3 linked regions of the Macaca fascicularis genome follow. The protein of the gene in region 1 purifies or fractionates together with the protein of each later gene. This does not show direct contact. Links are inferred from orthologs where the notes say so. Each region holds a gene or a part of one and is shown in the gene's direction. Other genes may lie near its edges.

What was found. The genes of interacting proteins can lie anywhere in the genome.
Region 2: the proteins of SFN (region 1) and HDAC7 purify together in Homo sapiens (affinity purification with mass spectrometry; 3 studies listed by BioGRID and IntAct, with this or other methods). This does not show direct contact. The link is inferred for Macaca fascicularis from reciprocal best matches to the Homo sapiens genes SFN and HDAC7.
Region 3: the proteins of SFN (region 1) and GAN purify together in Homo sapiens (affinity purification with mass spectrometry; 3 studies listed by BioGRID and IntAct, with this or other methods). This does not show direct contact. The link is inferred for Macaca fascicularis from reciprocal best matches to the Homo sapiens genes SFN and GAN.

The regions. Positions count from the first base shown.
Region 1 is NC_088375.1:208,247,220-208,251,066, reverse strand, and holds SFN (14-3-3 protein sigma), read left to right. Parts: upstream 1-1,613; 5' UTR 1,614-1,677; coding exon 1,678-2,424; 3' UTR 2,425-2,908; downstream 2,909-3,847. UniProt on the Homo sapiens protein: Adapter protein implicated in the regulation of a large spectrum of both general and specialized signaling pathways. Binds to a large number of partners, usually by recognition of a phosphoserine or phosphothreonine motif.
Region 2 is NC_088385.1:54,538,120-54,542,394, reverse strand, and holds part of HDAC7 (histone deacetylase 7), read left to right. Parts: intron 1-1,281; coding exon 1,282-1,469; intron 1,470-1,601; coding exon 1,602-1,692; intron 1,693-2,029; coding exon 2,030-2,141; intron 2,142-2,717; coding exon 2,718-2,833; intron 2,834-3,081; coding exon 3,082-3,207; intron 3,208-3,940; coding exon 3,941-4,032; intron 4,033-4,222; coding exon 4,223-4,275. UniProt on the Homo sapiens protein: Responsible for the deacetylation of lysine residues on the N-terminal part of the core histones (H2A, H2B, H3 and H4).
Region 3 is NC_088394.1:77,247,752-77,252,026, forward strand, and holds part of GAN (gigaxonin), read left to right. Parts: intron 1-1,126; coding exon 1,127-1,276; intron 1,277-1,550; coding exon 1,551-1,687; intron 1,688-1,912; coding exon 1,913-2,041; intron 2,042-4,275. UniProt on the Homo sapiens protein: Probable cytoskeletal component that directly or indirectly plays an important role in neurofilament architecture.

The DNA.
Region 1 (3,847 bases):
TGAAAGGAGCCGTACCCGAGGCCCATCTAAGCTTTGGCTAGGGGTGGGGCAGATAAGCAGGAATCCATCCCTGTAGGCTCAATGCCAACACCCTTTGGTGAAACTCCTGATGAAACTTGAGGCCAGGGCCCCAGCAAGCAGGGAAAGAAGGTTGGCAACAGAGGTCTCCATCTGAGGACTCTGCCAGGGGTCAGAGGTGGGGTAATGGTCAAAAGGAAGGAAGTGGCTCATGCCCATAATCCCAGCAGTTTGGGAGGCTGAGGCAGGAGAATTGCTTGAGCCCAGGAGTTTGAGACCTGCCTGGGCAATGTAGTGAGATCCTGTCTCTATTTAAAAAAAAAAAAAAGGAAGGAACAGGGAAACTTCTGAGAGACAGGCTGGGGGAGTAGCTGGGATTGCTGCCCCATAAAACAGAATGGTATGTGTCACTGCCACCTCCCTTTCTCAGTCCTCTCTCTCCCCAGGTTGCTAGCGTCCCCCCTGGGGGATCAAACTGGACTGCTTCCCAGCCTCAGACAGAGAGCAGTCTGAGTCAGGCAGGAAAGTGGGACAGCCGGGGAGCTGGACCCCACCCTCTGTGAACCCCACTGGTACCTGATGGCATGTGGCTTGGAGAGGGCAAGTGACCTGGTGTGGAGGGCCAGAGGGTAAATCCTCAAACAAGTGGCAACAGGCCACCAACTTGAAAGGGAAAATTGTGTAGTGATGGGAAATGTGTCCAACAAACCTACTGGGTGACTAATTACAAAGGCTGGGCTGGAGCGTCAGAGGCTGCTTGTTAAACACTTCATTAAGTGGCACTCTGAAAGCTGCCACCTGCGCATTCTGGGAGCTCAGAGGGGACCCTGAGGGGGAGTGAGGCCTGAGGGATGGAACCATCTTCAGGTAGATTGAGAAAGAGCCTGGATCTCACTTCCAAACACAGCCTGGAGCTCATAGGTCAGAGACTTCAACGGGAGAAAAGCTAAAGGAAGCAGGGTGCAGAAAGGAGTTTCAGGGAAGTGGTGGCTATGTGACTTTGAGCAAATCTCACCCCTCTCTGAGACTTAGTGTTCCCATCTCTGTGGTCCTGTGTGTGTCACAGAGACACAGTGGGGATTAAATTCGATGGTGAATATGAAAGTGCTTGGGAAACTCTATGGCCCTACCTAAACATAAGTTATCCTCACCTGAATCAAGGGGAGAAGTTACCTGGCAGGATTGGGAACCCCATCCTCCTGAACCTTTATGGGCTCTGTCGAGGCAGAAGCAGCCAGGGGCTAAAGCCGCCCTTAGCCTCTGTAAGGACGCTGTGAAGGAGGATCTGATTTGAGAAGCCAGGCAGTTTCCTGATGTGAGCAGCCATATGATGCCAGCCCCGAACAAGAGGGGGCAGCCTAGAGCCTGGAAAGGTGCCTGTGCAGGTGGGGCCCACGCCCAGATTTCTTCTGCTGACTGTTCTGATGACTCACCCCCACATCCCAGCCTTTTTACCTTGACTGCAGAGCCGGAAAGGGTGTGGGGAGGAGAGGAGAGGGAGGCAGGTCTTGGGCCCTGGTCCCGCCCCCTGCTCCTCCCCACCCTTCTCTGGGCCTGGCCACCCAGCCAAAAGGCAGGCCAAGAGCAGGAGAGGCACAGAGTCCGGCATTGGTCCCAGGCAGCAGTTAGCCCGCCGCCCGCCTGTGTGTCCCCAGAGCCATGGAGAGAGCCAGTCTGATCCAGAAGGCCAAGCTGGCAGAGCAGGCCGAACGTTATGAGGACATGGCAGCCTTCATGAAGGGCGCCGTGGAGAAAGGTGAGGAGCTCTCCTGCGAAGAGCGAAACCTGCTCTCAGTAGCCTACAAGAATGTGGTGGGCGGCCAGAGGGCTGCCTGGAGGGTCCTGTCCAGTATTGAGCAGAAAAGCAATGAGGAGGGCTCGGAGGAGAAGGGCCCCGAGGTGCGTGAGTACCGGGAGAAGGTGGAGACTGAGCTCCGGGGCGTGTGCGACACCGTGCTGGGCCTGCTGGACAGCCATCTCATCAAGGAGGCTGGGGACGCGGAGAGCAGGGTCTTCTACCTGAAGATGAAGGGCGACTACTACCGCTACTTGGCCGAGGTGGCCACTGGTGACGACAAGAAGCGCATCATCGACTCAGCCCGGTCAGCCTACCAGGAGGCCATGGACATCAGCAAGAAGGAGATGCCGCCCACCAATCCCATCCGCCTGGGCCTGGCCCTGAACTTTTCCGTCTTCCACTACGAGATCGCCAACAGCCCCGAGGAGGCCATCTCGCTGGCCAAGACCACTTTCGATGAGGCCATGGCTGATCTGCACACCCTCAGCGAGGACTCCTACAAAGACAGCACCCTCATCATGCAGCTGCTGCGAGACAACCTGACGCTGTGGACGGCCGACAACGCCGGGGAAGAGGGGGGCGAGGCTCCCCAGGAGCCCCAGAGCTGAGTGTTGCCCACCACCGCCCCACCCTGCCCTGCCCCCTTCAGTCCCCCACCCTGCCGAGAGGACTAATATGGGGTGGGAGGCCCCACCCTTCTCCCCCAGGCGCTGTTCTTACTCCAAACGGCTCCGTGGAGAGGGACTGGCAGAGCTGAGGCCACCTGGGGCTGGGGATCCCACTCTTCTTGCAGCTGTTGAGCGCACCTAACCACTGGTCATGACCCCAGCCCTGCTCTCCGCACCGCTTCCTCCCGACCCCAGGACCAGGCTACTTCTCCCCTCCCTCTTGCCTCACTCCTGCCCCTGCTGCCTCTGGTCGTAGGAATTGAGGAATGTCCCGCCTTGTGGCTGAGAACTGGACAGTGGCAGGGGCCGGAGATGGGTGTGTGTGTGTGTGCGCGCGCGCGCCAGTGCAAGACCGACATTGAAGGAAAGCATGTCTGCTGGGTGTGACCATGTTTCCTCTCAATAAAGTTCCCCTGTGACACTCCTCCTGTCTCTTTCCAGTTCTTGGCGATGGGTTGGGAGTGGAACTGGAATCTGATTTAGAGATCCTGACTTTCGACCTCTGAGTTAGGGCCCTGACCTCCCTGGGTGGCTCAGTGACCTGCACGCAAGACTTTGAGTCCAGGTGAGGCCGGGGTCCGGCTGTCTCCATCAGGGCGGCCCCAGTCAAACTGGATGGGACCGGGAGGGTCAGGTGAACCCACAGGAGGCGCCGAGCCTCCTCTGCAGGGCCGAGGGGAGGTGAGTGGGAGCCGCAGCGCGGGAGGCTGACGAGCTCAGGTGGAGCGGGACAGGAAATAGTGAAGTCTCCGGCATGAGATCTAAGGACAGCGCTGCAGTAGTGAGCGGCACTGAGCACCCGATTTACAGGCGGGTCACAGTCTCATCAAGGGCTCAGATCTCAGCGGAGGGAAGTACGATTTGAGGCAGGGGTGCAGTGCCGCCATAAAAGCCCAGATCTTAGGAGAGGGTCACGTCCCAAAGAGTTCGGAAATGGAGACAAAAGGAAACGGGCTGGTGGGGAGGAAGGACGAGCTGGGTGGGAATGGCCGCTGGGAGCATTGCCTGCCGAGCCAGCCGCCTCCGCTCTCTGCAGCCAGCAACACGCCGGAACCTGCGGCCGCATTGCTCGGTCTCGCCTTCACAGCCAGGACTGGAGGCGGGGCCCGAGGCTCTGCCACCCAATCACAGGAGGGAGCTGCCCCAGGGTACCACCCCGGGGGACCCGACGAGCCAATGGGAAACTGAGCGGCGGACCGCGCGCGGCGAGTTTCCCGCCGCCCGCCAGGCCTGGCGGACGCCACAACTAGCTGACTGACTGAGCGGCGCCCCCGCCGCCTGCTGAGCGCCGAGGGGCGGCGCTTTCCCGGTTTCACTCAGACAAGTTGTCACCCGTCTGGCCCGAGAGCTGGGAACCCTCTAG
Region 2 (4,275 bases), on another chromosome or scaffold:
TTGGATAGGGCCCTTCACCTCCGAGACTCAGTTTCCTTATTTAGAATAACGAGATAGTAATGCCTACCCCCCAGGGCCAGTGGGTTGATGAGGTGAGAGGGTTTTGTAGATGTTCACTCGCAAGTGCTGTAGATGTAAAGATTGTGGTTAGGAGTGGCCGGCTTGGGCCTGGAGGCTATGATTTCTGACTCCTGGACTGGTACTTTGCCACAGGCCTTTCCAGCCCTCCTCAGCCCCAGTCCCTGAGGACAGTCTGTGGCTGCCCCACCGGGAGATACCCAGCTTTGGAATTGCTGAAGGAGACCTCTCCAGGAAGGCTTCTCCACTTGTGTGCCCCACCATGGGGCCGGCCTGCTCCCACCCCACCCACTTCCCCTTCTCCAGGATAAGCCCGATGCAACAGCTCCGTCTCCCAGTGTCTCAGCCTCTCTGGCTGCTCAGCCCAGCCTGGTCCAGCTGGCTAGGCTGGCATGGACCCTAGTCTGGTGGCTAGTTATAAATAGCCCCTGCACCCACAGCCTTGGCAGGGTGCTCCTAGCATGGGTGCAGAGGATTCTTGAGAAGAGGCAGCCGTGCCTGCCATCCTGACCATGCCAGGCCCAGAGCCGCCGTGGAGGCACCCAGGAGCAGGCCCAAGGGCACATGGGCCCTGTGAGCTGAGGAAGCTGCCCTGGGCACAGGGTTTTGCAGGCCCAACGTGGCTGGTCAGGTCTGGCTGTAGGCTTGAGGCATCACTTTATCTCATGACTGGGGATAGAGCATGGGAGGGTGGCGACCCAGAGGGCCTGTGAGGCTTGGGGCTGGAGGCGGAACAAAGTGGGCCTGTTTGCCTGCCTGATTGCTTCCTTTGAGCCCAACTCATTAAAGGGCAGCTGGGCAAATCCTCTGATTCCAGGGAGGGATGAAGGGAGGGAGAAGGCAGGGCCAAGAATGTCCCACCATAGGACAATGTCCCATCATAGATCACCGTAGCCCTCAGCCCCAGGCCCAGGGAGGAGCATGTTTAGTGGAAGAGCACGGTGGTGAAGTCGGAAGGCTCCATTCCAGCACCACCAGTGATACAGTGTAACTGCGTTCAGTTCTGTGACTTTTTCTCACGAGTAAAATGGAATTGATAACACCTACCTTGCAGGACCATGACAGGATTAAGTGAGGAAAACCCCATGAGAGTGTTTTGCCATTGTCAAGTGAGCCTGAGGGAGGCTGATGGAGGACCAGGCTGTAGTCATGCCCCCGAGGACAAACTTTCCAGCTTACCCTGCTCCCTCTCTCTGTCCCCAGGCTGCCCCAGGCCCTGTGCAGACACACCAGGCCCTCAGCCCCAGCCCATGGACCTGCGGGTGGGCCAGCGGCCCCCAGTGGAGCCCCCACCAGAGCCCACATTGCTGGCCCTGCAGCGTCCCCAGCGCCTGCACCACCACCTCTTCCTAGCAGGCCTGCAGCAGCAGCGCTCGGTGGAGCCCATGAGGGTAAAGATGGAGCTCCCTGCACGTGGGGCCACCTTGAGCTTGGTCCCCAGCCTCCCCGCCTTCAGCCTCCCTAGACCCCAGTCTCAGTCCTCAACTTCTTGTTCCTTTCTGGGCTGCCGGCCCTGCCCACAGCTCTCCATGGACACACCGATGCCCGAGTTGCAGGTGGGACCCCAGGAACAAGAGTTGCGGCAGCTTCTCCACAAGGACAAGAGCAAGCGAAGTAAGGAGGACACCGCCCCAGCCCAGCCCAGCCCCACCAGCCGGGTGCCTGTGGCTGCCTGTATAGCTTGTGAGGGGTGAGGTGGGAGGGGCGCAGCCAGCTGAGCCGAGGCTTTCCCCCTGCTTGCCTGGGCTCCGCCTGTGAATGTGTGTGGGATGTGGGGTCAGGTGGGGAGTGTCTGGAGGCTTCAGGGAGGGGTAGGGCCTTGGTCTTGGCTCTTGCGCGGGGAGTCCCTGGGACGCCTCCTACTGAGGATGGGGACAGGGCAGTGGCCAGGGAGTGCCATGAGGCTGCCTGTCCACCCACCTCCAGCCCCTTCGTGACTCTGCCCCTACAGGTGCTGTAGCCAGCAGCGTGGTCAAGCAGAAGCTGGCAGAGGTGATTCTGAAAAAACAGCAGGCAGCCCTAGAGAGAACAGTCCATTCCAACAGCCCCGGCATTCCCTACAGGTAACACCGTCCTCACCTGCCCTCCTGTCCCCACATGCAGCCTCCACCCCCACCCCCGTGTTAGCCATGAGCACACACACACGCCTCCTTCCTCCCCAGCTGCCACAACCAGTCCTTAACCTTCCTCTAAACATAATGCCCCCAAGCCCCTCTCTCAACTGATACGTGCCCTCTTCTCTCTTTAAATTCTCTCCCCACCCCCACCCCACCCGAGGCCCTTCACACACACATACACACACCCTACTGGCTTTTTTCTTGCACAGGAGCCCCTTCTCTCTTTATATTTTCCCTGAGCACAAAAATGTCCTGGTTCCCAGAGCAGGTTCCTAGTGCAGGTGACAGAGCTCCCAGTGGGCTCTTCACCTACGCACCAAGCACCTGGCTTCTATGCCTAGGTCAGAGCTCTGCACTGTAGCTGCTGGAGAGGACAGGTGGCCCACTGCTGCCACCTGGAGATGGTCCCCATTCCTACCAGCCCCACCTTGCCCAGCCCCACAGGTCCCAGGGCTGGTGCTCAGGGCGGTGCCCGTGCAGTGTCCCCACCCCTCTGAAGCAGCCTTGGCACTCATTCTGTAGAACCCTGGAGCCCCTGGAGACGGAAGGAGCCGCCCGCTCCATGCTCAGCAGCTTTTTGCCTCCTGTTCCCAGCCTGCCCAGTGACCCCCCAGAGCACTTCCCTCTGCGCAAGACAGGTGAGCTGGACAAACAGGTGGGACCTTTCAGGCAAAGGAAGGGGGAAGGGCCTTGGACATAGGGGAGGAGTGTGCAGGGGTGGGCGGGCTGGACTGGGCCAGGCCAGGGGATCGTCGGTAGGCTAGGATCTTCGTTCTGGTTCTGCCTTCTCTTTCCTTGACTGATAGAGATGACTGGGACTGAGGGACTAAAGGATGGAAAAAAAGAAGGGTTGGGGGGGCCTGAGTGACGCTGGTGCTCCCTGCAGTCTCTGAGCCCAACCTGAAGCTGCGCTATAAGCCCAAGAAGTCCCTGGAGCGGAGGAAGAATCCACTGCTCCGAAAGGAAAGTGCGCCCCCCAGCCTCCGGCGGCGGCCTGCAGAGACCCTCGGAGGTGAGGGCCGGCTGAGCGGGTGCAGTTGCCATCCTCAAACCTGGCTGGTCTTGTCCCTTTGGGTCAGGCCCTACCTAGACAGGGGTCCCCTCCTTAGGACTGCCATGCATGGTTGTATGGGGGGTGTCCCACATACTTGCCGAAGCACGGGAGTTGGGGCTGAAACCCAGTCCCTGCTCTGTTAGCTAAGGTGACATCTCCCAGAAAAGAGGACACCCTTCAAAAAATTGTGCAGAGGTTCTGTAGGCCAAAGGTGGCCTGCCTTCTTCCTGCTCTTATGGGAAGAAAGCAGGAGGCGAGGCGTGGTGGCTCACACCTATAATCCCAGCACTTTGGGAGGCCGAGGCAGGTTGATTACCTGAGGTTAGGAGTTTGAGACCAACCTGGCCAACATGGTGAAACCCTGTGTCTACTAAAAATACAAAAATTAGCCGGGCATGGTGGTGCATGCCTGTAGTCTCAGCTACTTGGGAGGCTGAGCCAGGAGAATCGCTTGAACCCAGGAGGTGGAGGTTGCAGTGAGCCGGGATCGTGCCATTGCACTCCAGCCTGGGAAACAGAGCAAGACTGTGTCTCAAAAAAAAAAAAGAAAAAAGAAAAAAAGGGAAAGCAGGAAGCAAAGGTGCCCGTTAAGGAAGGGGCTGCTCTTGGGTCTCCTGCACCAGGTGGCCTGGCTGTGCCCTCCTGCCCACCCTGGCCTCTGACTGCACTTCCCTCTCTCCCCAACCCTCAGACTCCTCCCCAAGTAGTAGCAGCACGCCTGCGTCAGGGTGCAGCTCCCCCAATGACAGCGAGCACGGCCCCAATCCCATCCTGGGCTCGGAGGTAAGGCCTTGCCGAGACTGGGCTCTCCTGGGGCAGTTCTGAGGCTCAGTCTTCTTCCAGCAAGCGGCCCTACCCGGGCTGAGGCTGCAGGGTCTTGGCAGCCCCTGCCAGAGCCTCCTGGGTGTTCTGGGGAAGGTGCGCTGGGGTAGAGGTCTGGGACCGGTGACCCTCGCCCTGCTCCCTATGGCAGGCGCTCTTGGGCCAGCGGCTGCGGCTGCAGGAGACTTCTCTGGCCCCGTTCGC
Region 3 (4,275 bases), on another chromosome or scaffold:
CATTTTGAAGTTTTTCACAAAAGCTCTTTGATGGCAGAGAATTATGTGTGTTCTGGTCAGTGTTTCATTTTCAGCGCTAGAATCGTGCTTGGCACATAGGGTTCACTACGTAAATATTCGTTGACAAACGGACATGAAACACCTAGGGCTTCTGTGATCCCAAATAGCCTTGGCCTGACCCTGTCCTCCACAGCCCTTTCTGCCCTGGTCAATACTAACCTTTCCCACGTCAACCTGAAAATACTGCCCATTGTTATGCAAAAATAATTGTATTGAATCAGAGGTAACAGTTCATTTTCTTTTTGTGAGCTATTATGGGTTAAAAAGTGAGGATTTTCTGAGGAACTCACCATGTATTTCATAACCTTGTTTTGAGAAATGACTTTGGCCTCTCTGGCTGCTGTGCTGGAAGAGGGGCTGCTAGGGAAGCCAGAAATCTTAAAGAAGCATTACCGGGGCGGGGCGCGGTGGCTCACGCCTGTAATCCCAGCACTTTGGGAGGCCAAGACGGGCGGATCACAAGGTCAGGAGATCGAGACCACGGTGAAACCCCGTCTCTACTAAAAATACAAAAAATTAGCCGGGCGCGGTGGCGAGTGCCTGTAGTCCCAGCTACTCAGGAGGCTGAGGCAGGAGAATGGCGTGAACCCGGGAGGCGGAGCTTGCAGTGAGCCGAGATCACGCCACTGCATTCCAGCCTGGGTGACAGAGCGAGACTTCGTCTCAAAAAAAAAAAAAAAGACGCATTACCGGAGAAATGGTTTTGAACGTGTTACTTCCAGCTGGAACACTGGGAAAAAGAGATGTCTCTAATTTTTAAAAATAATTCCACCTTTTATTTTATACTCGGGGTAGGTATAAACCTACATGTGTAGGTTTGTTACGTGTGTATATTGCATCATGCTGAGGTTTGCAGTAAGATTAATCCAGTCTCCCAGGTACTGAGCATCATACCCAATAGTTAGTTTTTCAGCCTTTGCTCCCCTCCCTGCCTCCCTGCTCTAGGAGTCCCCAGTGGCTATTGTTGCCATCTTTATGTCTCTCTAATTTTTATGAAGTATATGAATATTAGCTTTTAATATGATCCTTGGCCTTGTGTGTTCAGAGATCGCTGATGTCGTTTCAGGCAAGACATAACTTCGGAATTGTGGAGATAGATGGGATGCTGTACATTTTGGGAGGAGAGGATGGTGAAAAGGAGCTGATTTCCATGGAGTGTTACGATATTTATTCTAAAACCTGGACAAAGCAACCTGATTTGACCATGGTCAGAAAGGTGAGGACCGCATTTTGTGGTAACTAGTTTGTGTACACATTGGATTTTAAACTTAATGTGTCTTCATATCCTGAATAAACCTTTAATATAACTGATAGTGTTAAAAGAATTAACTTTATAGAAGTCTGCCTTTATTGGTAGTTTGCCTTCCCTGTCATCAGCCACACACCAAGATAGGAAGGTGGGCGTGTATGAGAGTTTACCCTGGTGGTGGGCACCACCTGACCTGAATGAGAAAAGTTGCCTCTCCCCCACCATTGTTTTCTACTTTCAGATCGGCTGCTATGCAGCTATGAAAAAGAAAATCTACGCCATGGGTGGAGGCTCCTATGGAAAGCTTTTTGAGTCTGTGGAGTGTTATGATCCCAGGACCCAGCAGTGGACTGCCATATGTCCCCTGAAAGAGAGGAGGTACACGGATGTGGGTGAACTCTTCACTGGGTCTGGAGCCCTTACCCTTACCCTGCCTGGGTTTTGTTCTTTTCTTTCAGAGTAACCTTTTCTTTGACTTGGCATTTCCTGAGAAAGGAAGGCCTACATAGTAATGCTGCAGAGTTAAGCCAGCATAAGAGGAACGAGGGAGTGAGATCTCGCGTTGTACTGCTTGTGCCTGATACGCTGTGTGTGGCCTTTCAGGTTTGGAGCAGTGGCCTGTGGAGTTGCTATGGAGCTGTATGTGTTTGGGGGAGTCCGAAGTCGTGAGGACGCCCAGGGTAGCGAGATGGTAACTTGCAAGTCCGAGTTCTACCATGACGAGTTTAAAAGGTAACTAAGAATGGTTTCACGTAGCTACTGCAACTTTTTCTTTGTGCTTTCAAAGTTGTATTTTAGCTTTGTTTAGTTTTGTTTTCAGTCACTTGATTAAATTATGGGTTTAGGAGATATGTCTAATGCATACTAGGTATTTATTCAGTGACTTCACAAGTGCTAGTAACTTAAAATGTCTCTAAATAGAAAATGTTTCTAATATGTAGATCAGATCTTGACAGTTGCTTAAAATCATTATTGGCTCCCTATAGCTTTTAGGAAAGAGTTTAAAACTCCTTACCTTGTTGGGCGTGGTGGCTCACACCCGTAATCTCAACATTTAGGGAAGTAGAAACTGAAGATTGCTTGAGCCCAGGAGTTGGAGATTTGCCTGGGCCACATAACAAGACCCTGTGTTCTCCAAAGAAAAATAAATAAACTCCTTAACTTAGCATATGTGGCCTTTTGTGATATGGCCTTTGCTTTTTCTGCTACTAACCTGGATACTTTACACTGAGCCACTTTCCCCTGCGAAATCAAGTATGATTGTCTCAGCTCTGTGTTCATATGCTGCTTCTTGCCTAAAAGCTTCCTTCCCGCTGAGCATCCAGTTAGCTTGGCCTTTTTCAAAACTGCTTAGTTATCAAAACCTGGAGAAAGCCTTCTCACACCTTCTCCTCTGATTTAAATCCCTTCATCTGTGATCCCATGCACTCCAGACAGGTCTCTCTCTGGGGTTGTAACTGTTAACTGCAAGCAACTTCAGGGCAAGGTCCACCTTCGTCAGCTCTGTATCCTGGCTTCCAACATCCTACCTGCTTGTATCAGATACTTAGTAAAATGTTGATTAAGTGGCTAAAGCGTGGTGTCCGAGATTCTTAAAACCTCTGAAAAGTGCCACATATGTCTTGTAGAGTCGATAACATCCTTCTCGATGTCTTCTCTCTTTCCTCACGCATTTTATTGTTGTAACCACTGAACAGTATTTTTATTGCGGTAATATGTTTAAATCCTAAGGGGAAATGGGTATGCTAACCATAATTTTATTTGAGTAGTTCAGTTATGTTACCAGAAGAGGGTGCCATAACATAATGTTTAATTTCATGCTGTTTTAGATTAAGGCAGTCAGTGAGCAGTTACAAAGATGCTGGAAATGCATGTAAATGCTACCTAACTTGTATTTTAAATTTAGGATATTTGCGTAGCCTTTTTTTCTAATTATAGGAATAGACTATCTTAGGAAAGTTTATTAGAGAGCAATTTAGAGGATACTTGCTGTAGTGGGGCCGATTTTCAGACTTCTCTACATTTTTCCTTCCTTGTTACATGACTGGGAGGGCTGACGGCCCAAGGGATGAAGGCCGTTTTTTTTTTTTTTTTTTTTTTTTTTTTTTTTTTTTTTTGAGACGGAGTTTCACTCTGTCGCCCGGGCTAGAGTGCAGTGCCATGATCTCAGCGTACTGCAAGCTCCGCCTCCCAGGTTCAAGCAATTCTTCCCCCTCGGCCTCCCGAGTAGGTGGGACTACAGGCACGCACCACCATACCCGGCTAATTTTTGTGTTTTCAGTAGAGACAGGGTTTCACTATGTTGGCCAGGTTGGTCTCGAACTCCTGACCTCATAATCCACCCGCCTCAGCCTCTCAAAGTGCTGAGATTACAGGCACGAGCCACCACACCTGGCCTATCAGGTTGTTACATATTTGTAGTGGATAAGCTTTTAATACAACTATTACTTGCTTTAAGTTCATAATAATTAAACATAAGACTGTTGTTCCTTCTTTGCTATTTAAAAGCACTTCCAGGCCAGGCACAGTGGCTCAAGCCTATATTCCCAACACTTTGGGAGGCCAAGGCAGGCGGATCACTTGAGGCCAGGAGTTCAAAACCAGCCTGGCCGACATGGTGAAACCCTGTCTCTAACTAAAAGTACAAAAAAAAAAAAAAATTATCCAGGCCTAGTGGCACACGCCTGTAGTCCTGGCTGCTCAGAAGGCTGAGGCATGAGAATTGGTTGAAACCAGGAGGTGGAGGGTGCAGTGAGTCGAGATTGTGCCACAGCACTCTAGCCTGGGCAACAAAGTAAGACCCTGTCTATAAATAAATAAATAAATAAAAGCACTTCCAAATAAAATTCATGTATGTTTGGATCCTTATTCCTAAGCTCTCCAATGTTTGTAAATAGAATAAAGAAAGCTGTTAATTTATCTTATCAATGTAAGATTCTAACATGTTTAGATAACATTAAACACAC